Drosophila melanogaster: one gene and its partner. The protein of the gene in region 1 purifies or fractionates together with the protein of each later gene. This does not show direct contact. Each region holds a gene or a part of one and is shown on either strand. Other genes may lie near its edges.

The links. Proteins that work in one complex are often made in the same cells at the same time.
Region 2: the proteins of Drp1 (region 1) and Debcl purify together in Drosophila melanogaster (affinity purification with western blotting, with the first as the bait; one study listed by BioGRID). This does not show direct contact.

Annotation. Positions count from the first base shown.
Region 1 is NT_033779.5:2,579,641-2,589,123, forward strand, and holds Drp1 (dynamin related protein 1), read right to left. Parts: upstream 5,791-9,483; 5' UTR 5,632-5,790; coding exon 5,530-5,631; intron 4,762-5,529; coding exon 4,617-4,761; intron 4,559-4,616; coding exon 3,894-4,558; intron 3,679-3,893; coding exon 3,227-3,678; intron 3,172-3,226; coding exon 2,826-3,171; intron 2,763-2,825; coding exon 2,534-2,762; intron 2,470-2,533; coding exon 2,258-2,469; intron 2,199-2,257; coding exon 2,142-2,198; 3' UTR 1,641-2,141; downstream 1-1,640. Other genes in the region: ND-B17.2 (NADH dehydrogenase (ubiquinone) B17.2 subunit), read right to left, coding at 1-156, 220-314; Arpc5 (Actin-related protein 2/3 complex, subunit 5), read left to right, coding at 729-941, 1,004-1,246.
Region 2 is NT_033778.4:6,645,323-6,653,342, reverse strand, and holds Debcl (death executioner Bcl-2), read right to left. Parts: upstream 4,690-8,020; 5' UTR 4,065-4,689; coding exon 3,765-4,064; intron 1,355-3,764; coding exon 1,211-1,354; intron 1,156-1,210; coding exon 697-1,155; 3' UTR 501-696; downstream 1-500. Other genes in the region: Opbp (Optix-binding protein), read right to left, coding at 22-28.

The DNA.
Region 1 (9,483 bases):
CACTCGGCGGGAATCATGGATCCATCGTAGTCCATGTTGACGTGGGGGGCGAACTCGATCCAGCGATTGCGGCCGTAGAAGTAGTACGGGTTCTCGAAGTACTTGTTGCCGTACTTGTCGATGCCCACCAGGGTTCCGATCTTCAGATCATCGTTCCTGGAAAATAGCGCATATGCGGTTTTCAGGATTGGAGCAATCTTATATAAGATCGAGACTCACCTATAGAGCTTCAGGTACGCTTGCTTCAGTCCTCCGGCTTCGCGGACCATCTGGAACAGCTTTGTCAGCCGGTTGATGCCCAAAAACTTTGCCATGCTGCCGGGAAAACCCAGAAATATATTAAACGTAAATAATTTCGATTTTCTTGGACTCACTTGAAACAAAAACAAAGTCAATCTGCAGTGTGGCCAGGAGAGGTCAAAAGCACCAGCTAGAAATACTGAATCATATCAATCATATTCTTTGAAGTAAAAATGGAACAAGATTGGTCGAAACCTACTCTCAAAATATTTTTAAAGCTCATTAGACTTTCATTTGCTGAGATAAGTGATTGTGAAACTCATGTTTTTTGTTGCTTGGATGTATCCTGTGCATTATTGGCGCTTTGGTAATAATACTGCAGCTAGTATTTTCTGAGGTTCGGCCACACTGCCACTCATCTGTTTTGCCTTGCCGGATTTTGTGATTCATATTTTTGTAGAGAAAAGTGGTGGGAATTTAGCGAAAACATGGCCAAAAACACGTCCAGCAACGCGTTCCGCAAGATCGATGTGGACCAGTACAATGAGGACAACTTCCGGGAGGATGATGGGGTGGAGAGCGCGGCAGCCGGTCCGGATGAGAGCGAGATTACGACGCTGCTGACGCAGGGAAAATCCGTGGAGGCGCTCCTGAGTGCGCTGCAGAATGCCCCGCTGCGCTGCAAGAACCAGAATGTGAAGGTGGGTAGCCACACCTATTCGTATCGAGAACCCTATAAAGCTAATCCTTCCTTGCATTGCAGGACCACGCCCTGAACATCACGCTGCGGGTGCTGCTGTCCATCAAGTCGACGCAAATGGACCAGGCCATCGACACCTTGGACCAGAACGACCTAATAGACGTGCTGATGAAGTACATATATCGGGGATTCGAGATCCCCTCGGAGGGCTCCAGTGGCCACCTGCTGCAGTGGCATGAGAAGGCCTTCGCCAAGGGAGGAGTGGGCTGCATTGTCCGCGTGCTGTCCGACACAAATCGCGCCTAGAGGAGATCAGCACAGCCAAAGGCGGTCATAGAGTCACTACCCCAACTGTTCCCTGCCCCATAAACCGATTCATACGCATCGCGGAGCATTTAATCAACACAGGATTGGAGCACTGGACACCACATCCTTATCTTCGGGATTTGCCACGCCCCAGCTGGAACCCACTTCTGTTTCTTCGCCGCAATACAAATGACGTTTTCCAAATTAGATTTTAACTGGTATCCAAGTATTAAAGTTTTTATTACGAAAGGTGAGTGGCAGTGATTTCAATCAGGGGAACGAACGTACTTCTAGTTCACTCAAGCCACACCTACATGTAACATAATTTGTAAGAAAAATTTTGTTTTTAGTAAGGCTAAGCAATTGCTACGCATCTCAAAACTCAGGAAGATTCAACTCCTATCAGATTTAAACACTTATTAATCTTCAGACTGAGCCTAGCAACTTTACGAACATAATGGCTTATCTAATCGAAATTCCAGGTGTATCATTCAACATGATGACGTTGCCTTCGTAAACTTTTAGCTGCCGTGACAGAAAACACATCTACTATGTTTGAATCAACCTTTTCTGCTTTATTTGACTATTCAATGTGTAATAAGTGCTTTGAGTAACCTAATCAAACCAATCACGGCGTCTACAACTTCTTATTAATTTAAAAAGCGGAGAGGCTCGATGATAGACAAATGCCAGGCGAATAGAAATGCGAGTTGGCTAAATGAAAGGCCCAGAATTTGGGGGTCGCATGCAATTTGATGATATTTCAGTGCTCGGTAGGGGGAACATTTAACAAAGGAGTTCGTTCTCTTTGAACGCGTCTTCAATAAATAGTTTTTATGTTGCTTATATGCGGGGATTATTAAGTCGAAACGGGTTGCTCCAATCGCTGACCAGCCTACCACATGTGGGTCTCGCGGATTTCGCTGATGATGTGATTCGCTCGCGTCAGTGCCTGAAATCAAAAGTAAGTTTAAAACGATGTCAAGCTAAGTATAAGCTAGCCAAGCGCACCTTCAGCATATCTGCCGCCTCTTTTCGGCGCACTGCAATGTGATCGGACTCGTTGAGCAGGGTTTCAGCCTTATCCGACTTATACAGATGTGTAACCAATTCGCTCTGCAAGTTGTCCTTAACGTAGTTAACCAAGAAATGCATGATGGCCTTTGGAACCGAGTCTTGTATGGATTTGCGCACAATGTAGAAATACGATTTGATCAGGTGTTCTAAAAACAAAAAGTAGTCAGATTGAGTTAGGTCTTTAAGTGGCCCGAGTTAAGTGCAACCCACCGATGACATCGCAATCCTTCTGCTCCTTGTCAGTGAGGCGACGTGGATTGTGGTTGGCCGGCACATCGGGCAGCAGATTGACCGGCTTCACTGGACTCACGATGTTATTGTGAACCGGAGTGTTGTTGGTCGAGTTCTCAATGCTGTCCGGACGCGTTGGTGCCGGCGGTAAAATGTTTGACAGCCATGTGCTGGCCATCGAAGGCGTCGAGTTCTCGGCGACGTGGTTCTAGAGAGCGAAACGAAAATGGGTTAAATAGGTTGCATACATAAATGAAGATTCCGCTGGCACCTGCTCATGCACTTGGCTATATTGCTGCTGTGAGGAATTCGGCTGCGGCGGCTGTTGCTGCTGCGGCTGCTGTGAACCAGCACTGTGCGACGAAATCTGAGGCGACATGTGGTTTCGCGGTGTATTGGCCCGCCGCTGCCCCAGATTTATCTGTGAGTAGGGATCGCTGTCCGTTTTCAGCAGACTGGGCACCAAAGCGGCATCCTTGTGGAAGTCGGGGTGCTTGGTGTTGATGTAGGCCAGCTCGATGGCCACAATGTTCTCCACCATCACGTTGGTGTGCGGCAGACGTCGACGCAGCAGCTGGGTGACCACGTCCACAATCTTCTCGTGCAGTTTGGGAAAGCTGTAGGGGAGATCGATGAAAACCTTTGGCGTTCAGCTATCATGAGTTCACATACCGCAGCATCTCCTGCTGCACTTCGTTGCCACAATGCTGAACAATGCGCTGCATCTCCTCGTGAATGAGTTCCACGCAGCGCAAGGAGGGTTCCTCCAGGCGGCGAATCTGGCGCTTCACTAGCAGTTCGAACGAGACCTCCGGAACGAACAAAGCCGGGCGTGGACCAGTGGCATTCCGGATGGCTGTCAGTATGTCCATCTTGCTCAGACCCGCCAGCGGGTGAATGGAGTCCAGGGTGCGGCCGAAGGTCTCGTGGAAAATGTAGCCCATCCGGGCACCGCCGCACAGTTCCGTGGTCTCGATATTCCTGGCCGTGCCCTCGATTGTGCAGCAGTAGGCGCTGGAGAACTTCGTGATGATCTGCAGCAGGGTCTGGCTCTTGTCGGAGACATCCTCGCCATAGGAGTTCAGCAGCGATTGGAATTGCGTGGCCATGATGTTGACGCGAGTCTGCAAGAATATGGGAAGTCATTCTCTTGAATTCAACATGCTATTCTAACCTTATCTGCCATTAATCTTCTCTTGCTTTACCATAGAAAAATATAAAGATCGATTATAATCGAGTGCCAAGTTTGTTTCATTTTTTTACATTTTCTTGAAGTTTTAGCCTGAGATTCTCGCATAGTTTGTGAAATCGATATGCAGTCTTTATAGACTAGACTCACCTTAAGATCTGGCAGGCAGTCCCGGATGTGGTGCATCAGGAGCCGGTTGAGGGTCTTGGCCAAGTAGGGCGTGCCGTTCCGGGTGGCCAGAGTGGGATACTTGCGCTGCAGGAAGGCGGCCTCGTCCTTCATCTGATCGTCGATGTGCTTTTGGTCCATGATGTCCTTCTGCGAGCGATTCATAACGCCGATGATGCCCAGCTTGACGGGAATGACCCGGCCGCACAGGATGTCGATGGCATCGGTGCCGGCATCCATGAGATCCAGTTTCGTGACCACGGCCAGAGTGCGCCGGCCATCGGGGTCCACGTCCTTGGCCAGCTTGAGTGCCTCACTGGTGGCCATGTCCGTGTTGGCGGCCGTCACAGCCAAAATGATGGAGTTCGGGTTCTCAATGTACTTGAGGACCAATTCTTTGATCTGCGCCTCGATATCCTCCGGCTGATCGCCCACCGGGACCTTGGTGATGCCGGGCAGATCCACCAGCGTTAGGTTGACCACGTGCGTTGAGAATATCTTCAGGTTGATGGGCTCCGGGCAGATGCCCTTGTTGCTGCCCGCCGCCCGCTCCGTTTCGTTTTCGATCTCCTTGCGGATCTCGTCAAAGTCCGTGAAGCACTTCTTGGTGTGCAGGAAGCGGCCCCACTCCTCGGCATTGGACGTACCTAAGTGTTATGTGGTTTAGCAATTGGGTTTTCCCGAACTTCTGACGTCTCAACTCACCATTTTCCGCCGAGCGATTCTCGCGATCATCGAGTGGGCTGTAGATCAGCTGGAGCACCAGTGGGCGACGGGTCACAATACCAGTTCCACGGGGCAGAAAGGATCGTCCCACAACGCTCTCGATCACCGAACTCTTGCCGGAGCTCTGGAAAAAAGGGGAAATGTATGTATTACTGGGAGTTAAAACGACGGCTGATAAAAGACGATGACCTGATAAGGTGGCTCCCAAGCGTTTGCAGCGAGGAAACACTTGGAAAACCGCAGATTAACTATTCTTATCTGGCAATGGGAGCCATTCTGTGATTGCAAATTTCTCAAACTTAAGCCTTTGCAACAGAAAACCAAATGAATGGTAAGAAATGGCACAGATTCAACATATTGGAGCTCCGCTGTACTCGGTATCAATGAGTTGCGCGAGCATTTAGTCATACTGACTTAATTCCAGAGCGTGAATCAAAGTGCAATTAAGCCAGCGATCGAAACATGCACACATATATGTACATACAGACACAACTATCGAAGTCACACATGTGTACGTTTGTTTTTTGCAGTGTGTTCGTGGGGGAATGTGTCACATCAGCCAGCAGCTGTTTTTTTTTTCGTTTTTGTATAATACTGTGGCATATTGATTTTCCATGGCGGCGGCGAGCAGTGCCAAAAATAATTATATAAACAATGGGGACGCCGCGAAGAGCGAAAGCTGGCTGAAATGTTGCTACAAACTGAAAACACAACTAAAATGCCGGCAAACGCACTCAGTTATATAATTTTGCGGTCACTGGAAAAGCGCAAGAGTTGGGGTTTCAGATAGCTGCGCCATATTCCGGTTCTCAGTTGCCACTCCTTTTACGGAGCTCGGGGATTTATGGTTTTCGGTGTGCGGATTTTTGGGCACCTCGCAGTTTGCATTTACCTGACTGCCTAGAACAACAATTTGGGGCAATTGGATGGAGTCGGAGCCCACGGTGTTGAAGACGTCCTGCAGCTTGTTTATGACCGGAATTAGGGCCTCCATTCTGAGTGTGTGTGTGTGCTGGGTTCCTTTGGTCGCGTTCCACTCGGCTGGCGATTAATTCGCGCACATAAAGGCCGTTCTTTTCGGCTTTTTCTGATTGACGCGAGCACCGAAATTATTTTTGCAAACCGCCAGTGTTGCACAGCAAATTTAGACTGTTTTTCTAGCGGTGTTGCCACACGGGCGGAACTTGCTGCTATCGGCAGTCCCTAGACGAGGTTGCCACCGTGCGCGAGAGTGCTGCCAATCTATTCCAAAAGGGCAGCTTTCTGTGCGCGCCAAAATTGAATTTTTGGGTGTTTCCAATTTTGCCCGTTAGTTGCGTGTATTGAATACTTTACACAAATAAAGAAAGGTATGATTTCATAACATTACTTAAAATCCCCCAATAGCTACAAAATATGAATGTCCTTTTCTTTTTGTTTTGTTTCATATTTTGCCTTTTTACTTATTTTATATGCACATGAGGAGTTTGTATTGATATGGACCAAACAAAAGGGGTCCTTACAAACCAATCTGAAAACTCACACACCACAATCTAAATCTGGCAGAATCTCAATATATTCATCGTATCTAACTAAATTGAAAAACTACACAGAGTAGGCGCATTTCTGAATACCCTTACAGACATAACAGTGAAAATGAATATATAGCATAAATATATTGTCTTTGATTTTGTCTAATTTCTGCAGAAATAAAGGACTATTTAAACGAAGAAATATTAAAGTTGGAGCAGCCGCCAAGTGGTCAGACCACGTGGCCCAAAATAGGGAAAAGGAATAATCTGGGGACCGGCCTCAAGTGCTCGAGATTTGCATGGGCGGTTGGGATGGGGACTTCCCCGGTTTTATATAAGAATTGCAGGGCAGTGAGCTGTGCCCCAAAACCAAAAAGGGGGCTACCCGACTATTTCTCGACCACACTCGATTGCCTGCCTGGCATGCATTGTGGGCGAAATGCCGGGCTCATCTGTCGTTTTTATCGGTTTATTTCAATGTTCGAGGATGCTTGTCGCCCGGTACACTAAGCATTCAAATTTCGATAGTGGCCTGGCCCAAATGGACCAGAATATTGGACGTACATATGTATGTACCACATCCATGTGCATAGAAGCCCCCACTCACGTATGCATCATGTGTCCTATTTGATAACAGTTCCCATTGTTGTTTGGCCAGCTCCTCCTGGCTGCTCCCAATTGAAAATGACAATGAAAATTGTTACAAGTTGGCTGATATCATTTTGCAATGCTCGCTTATCTCTTTAATGGCTTCCAAGCGATTTGAATATGCTTGGGATGATTTAAGATGACTTATTATTTACAATCCCATTGAAGTATCGAATTGTTTGAGTTTATTGTTCCGATCGCAGGATGGTAATATCGATTATAAGTAGTTTCAAAATTTAATCATTCCACTTCAAAATTAGTTACGCCATCCATGAAACTTTGATCATTCAAGTTTGGGATACTGACTAATCTCATTTCTTGCCCCATTATTATACATTCTGGCATTTTTCGAACTGCAAGTGGGCTTCTTTAGCATTTTCATAGATAAACTTTCGGCTTCCAATTAACAAATTTGGCTGGCAACTTTGCCAGCACACCTCTGCTGTATCTGTGTGTTTGAGTGTGTATAAATATTTCAAAATTTCCCCCATCAAATTGGCATTGTTGGACCGGGGAACTTTCGTATCTCTGGCTTGACAACTTGCCGAAATGTGCGGCGTGGAAAACTTCTTGAGTTTGAGTTGACAGTTATTGCGAAAGACGGGCGGGGGTGATGGTGATGGGGCACGCCCCCTTCTCGGGGCCGGAATATTAATTTGATAATTTCACGGCTGAATGCAAATTCGGTGTCAGGGTCCTTGGCTCTCTAATTGACTGACGAATACTTAAAATATGAATTTCAAATGAAGTTCAGCCATTGTCTGCTTTCTGGCTTTCTTTTGCCGCTTTTCGACTTGGCGCGATTAATTATGGAGTGATGATGATGATGATGGTGATGATGATGGTGTAGTTGAAGCTGGAGCAGCCTCTGCCCTCCGGTGGAGCATTAATCATGTGAAAGTAATTTTGCACATTTGCATGCGTTGCACAAAGCGATAATTTTCATCCATCATTTTCAAGTGTTTCCGCAGGATTATAGTGCTGCAAGGAGTCGCCAGCCTTTCGCTGTCATATCCTGCGTGTGTGCAGGATGGGTAGTCGCCTCATTATCCATCGCCATGTCGTCGTCAATTATTCTTGTTCTGCAGCCAGCCTGCAAGAACTTTGCATTTAGTTGATGAGCTTCTCTGCCCTGGTGGAAACCACGAAGTCCTCATGCTCCTCCTGCTCATCCTGCTCCTTTGGTGCTTTGCTCTTTTGTGCCTCGATGCCTTTGGTTTTCGGGACTCGGCTTTCATCTTTCGGCTGACTGCCAGTTGATCAATGGCTCTGCCCGTTTTCCATGGTGTTTCATGCAATTACGTATTTATATTGCGTATACGCCATGTGAATACGACGGATGGATGGAGAGCCCTTGAAGTAGGCGGCGTTACGGGGCGGAAACTTCTCCGTACGTTCTCGCCACAACTGCTGCAATAATGAACTTTGATTTTGCCCCTTTGCAATTCCCGGAATCATGAATGTTCCACAGCTTGTGGTCTGGCTGGAAAATGCGGAGCGCGAGCTGGGAAATATGCGATATAATTGCTGATTGATGCGGTTTGAAGGAGGTTGCTCTTTATGCTCTCGCACATTTTAATATAAAACTTGGTTGAAAGTATACAATACATTTTTATTCAATAACTGAATATATATGCATAATAATAAATTAGATATATCTCTTTTTTCATCATTACCATTACTAAACCCATTAAAGGACCATGAAGTGTGGCCATAACCGACTCTATCAAGTGGGTTGAATTATGAAGGCCATGTGTGCAGCCGCTTGGTTGGGTTTTTCGGTGCGCCCCGGATCTTGGCAGGATGTGGTTACCATTTAGCAGATGTCGCCGCTCTTGGCACCCAGCTCCTTGGCCATTAATCTGCCTGGGAACGCGGCTGCCAGATGCCTGCTGCCTTCTACTGCGGAAAGTGCGAAAGTATCGCACACATGTTTCCCTTATTTATATTTTGGCAATGCTCTGGCTGCATGTTTAATTGGATTTGCAGCTAAGCGGAATTAGAAGTGTGGGCGGAAAAGTGGGGAGCATTTGCATACTCCAGCTGTGGCGGAAAACCTCGACGGAAAGCCTCGAGACACTGGAAAAAAGGGGATGCAATTGAAGTAGATTGATATACCAAGGAACATAATATCATTCTTACGATCCATTTTTCATGGGCTTATTCTTTCAAGTAGTGCTTTAGCAAATATTAAAAACATATTTCTTGAATTTAAAATTCTTACCAATTATATTCAAATTGGCTGGGAAATCTTTCTTCGAGTGCTGCTGCGAGGCGACAACAAGCAAGTGTAAATTTCACTTGAACTGATAATTTCACTCAATTTGTGAGCGCTGATGAGCAAAGTTTTCCCATTTGCATGCGACTACGTGTGCCGGCTTTTCCCCGCTTTTCCACCCCCCCCCCCCTTCCTCCAGATGCAAGTTTCCATCTTTCGTTTCTCCTTCATCTGGCGCTGCTCCTGAATCAGGATGATTTCTTTTTTGTCGCCGTCGCCGAGTTGAAGGTGCCAATTAGGGATTTCCGCCTCAATTACTTTCGCGAGCACACGAGCAGCGAGTTTGTATGATTTTCGCATGACAAACTTGGGGCTTTCACATCGACGTCACCATTCCTCCCCCTTCCCACTGGCAAATGACTGTTTCCCTTGGCGAAGTATTCACTTCCCCTAAAAATGTAATTGCAAG
Region 2 (8,020 bases), on another chromosome or scaffold:
CCACGGAATCAGTGCACTTACATGACATGGCATAATTTGCTCCAATCTTTATTTACAACAAATAATAATGGGCAGATCCACAGCAATAATAACAAATGGTTTTTGGAAATCGAAGCGTTGCCACAGGGCTGGGTAAGTATTTGCGTTTTAGCTGGGTGGCAAGGCTAACAATCAAAATTTAAAATGTTAATAACATTTATTTTAAAGACTAGAACATTGAACCAGTAATTACAAAATTATAAAAACTTTTGTCAGCAAAGTTAACTTTTATATTTTTTGTTTAACTGAGAGATTATGTTAGTCGATTCGTCTTTAATTTCTGGTAACAGATACACTGTTCAACAGTCAAAGATTGGGCACTATAACATTTTAAAGACGAATTGTCGTACTCAAAATATTGGCACCTCCACGGCGTTTCCAGTGTTGCTAAACACGGACATAAAGTAATGCAGTTCCGTGCATAACACCCAGACTTCGCGCCAAATTCGAAAAAAAAGTTTACAACACACGCTTTATTGCGCCTAGAATAGCCTTGTATGTACAAAAAGAGGAGAAAGGGAATAACAATATTATACGTAAAACAGGGTCCGTTACATACTACTAAACGACTGGTGCCCATGGAAGCAGGAATGATTTGAAGCTCTCATTGACTAAATGGTACGATTGTATTTCTTAACGACGCGATCCCAAGCGAATCTAGAACAGCAGCGAATACAGTTGACCTCCAATGCGCCGACACACGTTTGAGACCATATATGCGCCTGCAGAGATAGTCACGAACAGCGTCAACCATCCCAAGAACGTAAATTCGCCGACCCGGGGTCGGATGTGCCGCGACAGGCCCAACCATCCGCCGTTGTCGATCAGCCAGTAGACCAGGTCGTCCTCTATGATCTCAGCCAGACCGTCAATCAGGCACTGTAGGTAGTCGAAATGTCCCTGGCGCACGCAGTCTATGGCAAAGCCGCCGCATACGGCAAATATCGAGATTATCTTGCCCCAGGTGATGCTGGAGCGAAAAAGATCCTTGGCAACTAGGTTGAGCAACATGGGCGCCATGTCGCTGTCCTCCAGCTCGCCAAACGGGGCCCTCGACAGCTGTCGCGATATGTTTGTGTACACCCGCGGGTGCATCCGCTCCAGTTCCTCGCCCATCTGTGGATTATACCATGTTATGAAAAGATTCAATGGCGAATGGCAGTACACTCACGCTGTTCAGTGCCGGGAAAACTTCATAGACCACGTGCGAGGAGCCGGGGTCCAGGATGTTGCGCAAACGCTGTGTCACCTTCCGGTTGAGGACTCCTGCCCGTCGCAGCCGCGCTCTGATGTACTGACCACACAGACATTTCCCCTGGAATAGAACGACAAAGCCAAAAGTTCAATCACAATCAAATTAACTACAGTGCTTTGATCATTGCCAGGCAATTTCGCTCCATCAGCGGGCCACTTAAACAATATCAATCGACTGCCTCGAGTTTTCCGGCGAACATGCATATGTTCTATTTACGTCGCTCTGAATCCGTTTACAGGATTCCGTAGACACCTGGGCTATTTCAATCACACCTCTTACAGAGTATCTAAACATGCAGCCAAACTGATGGCAGGTGCACATGGCGGTAATAAACTTTGAACAACGACTTAAACAAAAGAAGCGATCAGCACGTGCTGTGGAAAGGCATTAAGACAACTAAAAATTTACTTATGGAATCTGAAAGACGCGAAACGTTTGGCGTAATTAAGGCATTCCCCACCATGTTGCGTTCAATTCCGACCCATTTAGTTGCAAGTTTCCTTCGACAATTTATGTCGCACAATTACCGTTCGTCACGCCAACGATTCCGCAGCCAAGTAAACAGACAATTACTCACTTTGGAGCCAACTTGACTTATGACATGGCCAGCCAAAGAAATCAAGCCCATGCCAAATCACCGGCCTTGAAGCTAGTGTCTTGAAAAGTCTATCGAAGCTACTCCGAACCCGTCCAGCCTCCCAGCGAAATATTAATAAATCCGTCAATTTGTTTACGTGATCTTGTTATGGCGAACACTTGTGCGCCCAACTCTTTCCTTTTGGCGGGTTTGGTGCGACCAAATACCATAAGATTTACTTGAATGGCCAGAGTTCGATGAATTCATCACCTGAGGCTTTCGGGTTGTATAGTTAGTGGTCGGTTTATTTTTGGAATACTTGTTTATAATGGTTCCACCCGTGGCGCTTTCGCGGTTCTTCCCTTTTCTTTAGTTGCTATTATTTTCCTTGAAAACCTCTATGCAGCCTGGTTATGGCCCATTCCATCTGATTTGTCAGAGAAAATGGCGTTTACTTTAGAGGACTGCATTCTGAGAAAACTTCCGCAATGCGCTTAATGATAAATTCCTCAAGAAGTTATCAGCCCGGCGAAAGCAACCACATAGGCAAATATATTTAATAAACACTTTACATGTCGCTCACCTGGAGGAGCGGAGTAAATAGTTTTATCAGTCTCAGATAAACGAATGGTGGAAACAAAAATATTTGCCTTATCAATTAAGTTGAGACAGTCAAGACCCAAATGGTGGATAGCAGAGATTCGGATGGATCGTCCTCGATCAGAGCCATCGAAAATTAGTTGATACCGCAAACAGTTCTGCACATTAAATTGGAATCTGTTTGCAGTTGTCTGTTCCGTTTCATTTTGGCAATTTCGAAATTTGTCCACGAAATTAGGCAATTTGTTTGAACAGCTTTTTCTTTTAGTTTTGTGTTGTGTTTCTCATTTTGCGTACTTGCTGAATATTTAATCACCAAACTGTTGTATTTATATGTATGTCTCAAAAATCGGTTTTAATTATGTGCACATGTTCCGATGCATGACCAGTTTATTTTCTGACTCATTCTATGTTGATAACGTTAGATATTACTTAAAATAATTTAAAAAAAAAACATTGAGTGGCAACATAAGGCTGGAATAGAATAACTATAACAACTAATATATATAACTATTATCAAGGTTTTTAACTATTTTAACGCAAAACTATATATTTAAATGTGGGTTGAAACCGAGTCATGTTTAAAATAATTACACCTTAAAGTAAAGCACATGTCCTCAACCTCTTAAGAAATTTAAGTATTTGTGTTGATTAAACTTTTATATCACCAGGCGCATTGCTATGAACTATAAGAAGTCTTATTTATCGAAGAAGTATCTATTGTAAATTTCAACATTAAAACAATGCATATGAGCCCTGAAAACTTGTCAAAAGAATATAAATTATTTGTAACAAAGCCTTGACCGCTAAAGTTCATAATGCTTTTAAAACCACTTGCAAATTTAATTTGTATTATCTTGGCTTAGTTTTTCTAATTTTCCAACCGAAATGACTGTAATTGTATAATTTTAGAGAATTCTGGCCTATAAGGAAGACATCTGCTTGGTCTGGACCACATACATACATACATAGCTGCCTCTATGTGTACGAATTGGTCTTATATTTAAGAATACCCATCGGAATTCTAGAATTCTGCAAAAGATTAAAGCTAATCCAAGGCATTCAATAGTTCCTTGCTGAAACACTCACTTTGCTGGTGAATATCTCCCTATTTAACTTCCTTGCAATTCCATTGGCTGAGTAACACTCGTAAATTTTTTTGAACATATGCTGAATCAGACGCTTACTTTATAAGGCAACAGTCCCAGCATACTCTCAAGACTTCAACTAAATAATTCCCAAATTGTCCATAGCAAAGGACGGAGCCACTGGTCACCCATTTCTGGTCCTCACCTGGTTGATGATATCCATTTTGTACTCCTGGTAGTTAGTCATCGTGCGCGTACTGCTAGCCAGCGAGGATGTGGAGGCGGCCCGTGTCATGGGTCCGCCGGCGTGAAGGGAGCGTCCGTTAGAGGGATTGGGTACGCTACCGGGTCCTCCTGCTCCTCCACCGACGCCTCCGCGGAGCGCCTTCCAGTCGCTGGAGGCCGTGGCAATGGTGCCGCGGCGATTGGCCGTGTAGATCTCGTGGTCCAGCGACGAGGACTTGAACTTGGCCAGCTTGGGTGGCGGACTGGTGGTGGGAGCCATGGTCGAAGTCGAGGGCAGGGCAATGCTTGGCTGCCCGCTATTGTTGCTGCTGAGGCCTTTGTTGGCGCTGCCCCATGTGGGTTGTGTAATTCCGAAAGCCCAGCCCCGCGACTTTGCATGCACTATGCACTCGGAGCGGAGCGGATCGGATTGGATTGGATGGGATCGGGTGTGAGCGGTGGGGAGCGGTGGGCAGCGCACGAAAGGGGAGCGGAGTGGATCAGCTCACCTCGACGCAGCTGAGGCTCAGCTCGTCTTGGGCTTTTTTGGAGGTGCTCCGATTCTGATAAAATGGGCAAAACAAAATAAAAGTCGGCGACGAATGTGGCGAGCAAAGCGCAGGGCAGCAAACACGAACGAAACGCACAAAGAAGAGCCACTAAAACTTGTTGCTGGTGCCGCGATCCCAGTTTTATTTCACTTCATTTTTTTTTCAGCCGCTCAGAGCTTGCTTTCTTTTTCGCCGCGTTTAACCGAGAGCTTAGTATTCTGAATTTCAACGGGCAGTGGGGAGAGGGAATCGGCCTACCACCCTCTCCGTTCTATCTTCGATTCCCCACTTTCACGGTTACGGTTCCACGGGTTCCACGGTTCTCCGATCAGCGATCTAGGTTCTTTCGAGTTCCCGTTCTCGTTCTCGCGAGCGGCGCTTGTGATTGTGCGTTCGTTGTAGAGGTGGAGAAACATCGATGTTTTTGAAAAATCATAAACATCGATGTTTTTCGAGAAAACATCGATGTTTTTCCATCTCTACTGCGCATCGGAGAAGAAAAGTGTATGAATTGTAAGTACAAATTAATTTTCCATATTTTCTAATGCAATTATTAAAAGCATAACATAGCACATGGATTAATATCTGAAATGTTAGTTTTGAACTCCCGATTTGTGCACTTGCAGTTGCTCGTATGCATACTGGTTTACTTTTCCATTTAATTGTATTAATTTGTTTTATAGGAGCAACTATTGGACCAGCGGCTGATGAAAACGGAGACGACAATAAGTTTGTTTTTCTTTTCTTAAAGTACTGCCTTTTTATTTAAGCAATATTAAAAAATAATCATTAAATTAAGCAGGTAAATTTTGTTGTTTTTATTTTAAACATCGATGTTTTTCGCCAAAAACATTGGAAGCTTTGATGCCCGCCAACATCAATATTTCTCCACCTCTAGATTGTGCATTCGTTGTGTTTTCGCGACTGGCGAGCCGCGGCTCGCTGGGAACCGGTTCGCGGTAACGGTTTCGAAATAACGGCTTCGCTCTCGAAACCGAATACCGATTGCTTTGATATAATTGTAAAATGGAAACCAAATTTTTTTCACCAACGATGTATTACTCTGACAACCATTTGATTAACTTCTCAAGATATATTATACTTACTTTCGGATCTAAAACTGTTATGGAACCAGAAAGCTATTGCCGCCAATTTCAAAACTGTAAGGGAGCGATCTCCAAACTGCTAAATGTGATGTTCAAAAACTTAAATATTTTATCACTAAACGATAAATGTCCGTAGGCTTCGATCTATGATCTCAGATAAGAGATGCAGGCATCGGTCGCCCCTTTTGGAGGTGATATTACTCGAGGAGGACTTTCGTTTCGTTGGATCAATAAACTAAATAATTCAATAAAATGGAAAAAATACCGACTTGTTTCAAAAATGTAGTTGTAACAGTTTTGTGCATTAGCGATTGCATAGCAACGTTCTCAAACAATCTTCCACAGTCGTGTGTAGAATCTGCTTGCCAGATTGACATGGCCAGACCGACTCGGTTAGTTATCCTTTTTTATGATGAGTAACGTGTGTAATTAAATATTCTTTATAATGTTAGTTTGCTGAACTATCCCCACATTTAGGATTAATCCCACCTTGAATTGCTTACGCGTTCGTAACAAAAAGATAATTTTTTTGATAAAAATAACGCTGATACGCGAATTTTTGCAGTGTATCGGACTAGGACGATAAAGGTGTCGTTCTCGTTTTTTAAGCTTATGTAAGATTTTTTAAATGAATCTAACCGAACTATTGAATCAGATCAATCTAAGAAGCATCGTTCCGCCGGTTCCAAATCCGAATACCGACTATTTTGATAATTACCAATGTCGTATTACTTTATCACCCATTTTATTAACTTCTCAAGATATTTACATATTATACTTTCTTTCAGATCTGCAGTCCAACTTTTATCGAAACGAAAAGCTCTGGAATAAGCTTTTCGAGAGAACATCTTGCCGCCAATATCAAGACTGTGGGGGAGCGAACTACAAACTTATAAATGTGATGTTCGCAAATTTTGGATCTTTTATCTCTAAACGATTATTGTCCGTATTCTTCGATCTAAGATCTGAGATCAGCGATGCAAGCATCGGTCGCTCCTTTTGGAGGCGATATTACCCGTGGAGGACTTTGGTTTCGGATCAATAAACGCACATTCCGGTTGGGACCCAAAAGATTCCTTGGATAGGACCTCAAGGCTTAAAAGAAATTTGTTTGAGTCATTAACAGGTGTTCTTGTTATCAGAAGTTTTAAAAATGAGATAAAAAATAAACAGGCCAACTTTTGCTTGCCATATTTAAAAAAAAAGACAGAATGCTATAGTCGGTGCCCCGAATATCAGATACCCGTTAAAAATTGTTTAAAAGCGTCCGGCTTGGCGCATTTAGTGGCAAATTTTTTTTTGGCAAATCCATAGAAATTTACACACGTAATAAAATTATTGAAAAATATCATCAATATCGAAAAAGGGCATCGACTCGGTTAGTGATCCCTTTAAGGTCTGAAACGCTTCCTCCTAACTGTTACATAATTGCCAAAGAATCAAGTAAGCCCTTTTTGTTCTACGAGTAATCCACATTTAGGATTGATCCCACATTGAATTGCTCACGCGTTCGTAGCAAAAAGAACATTTTCTTGGATATCGGACTCAGACGATAAAGGTGTCGTTCTTTATTTTTGAACTTATGTAAGATTTTTTAAATGATCCAACCGAACTATTGAATCAGATCAACCTAAGGCCTAAGTTCCCTGGCGCACCACACTTTCGGTGCTCATCGTCACTACGTAAACTGCTGTCCGGTGTGAAAGTCGAGAAAACAGATACTTCTCAGCATTTGCATACCTAGTATCTTTAGAAGTGATCAAAATGGGCCGATTGCCAAGAAGCGTGACATCCATACACCCCACAGCAAAACTAATTGTAATCTTGATGGTCAGCATGGGGCTGTCAAAGCATGCTTATGTTTAATTGGAATCCGGCAGAGTATCAACCTAATCAATTCTACTATCACAGCGCAAACATTTTCCACTACTTGGCTTCCCCACACCCGTTTCTAAGAATATTTGTCTCTCTCCCCAGCCACATATGTACATACACACATATGTGCACCACCCCCAGCAATGACTTTTCCGTAGGCTTCACTGCGGACTGCAACATTGTTGCCATCGACAGAGTTTTTGTAATTGAATGAAATTAATTATATTCCAGTCGCTGATGATATTCATTTGCGTTCGCTGTGGTGGAGGGGCAGCTGATAATTAAAAGCTCAAATAGGCTGTTAAACTGAACTGACACAGTGACTCCGGGTTAGGTGATGTAAATCTCCACCAAATCTCAATTGATAGCGTTATCAGTGAGCCCCTTGTGGAAGCTGAGGATCGGTTCATATGCCGACCAGCAGCCAGATGTTCCTTACTTACAGTCGTAATTTCCGGACATGAATAACTTTTAGAAACAAATCCATTGTTTAGACTCATTGTAAATTTCTTATGTTGTATTAGGAATTGGTAAATTTATCATATTTTTTTTTCTATCAACGAGTATTCTTCCGAAATATTCCGCGAATCAGCAAGACTAGCCCATAAGTTTCTCTTAGTGAGGCTTGACTGTAATCCCGATCGGCTGACGGCGGATTCCAGACGCTTTCAGAACGGCCGATGCCGTCGCCAGCGTCTCTGTTA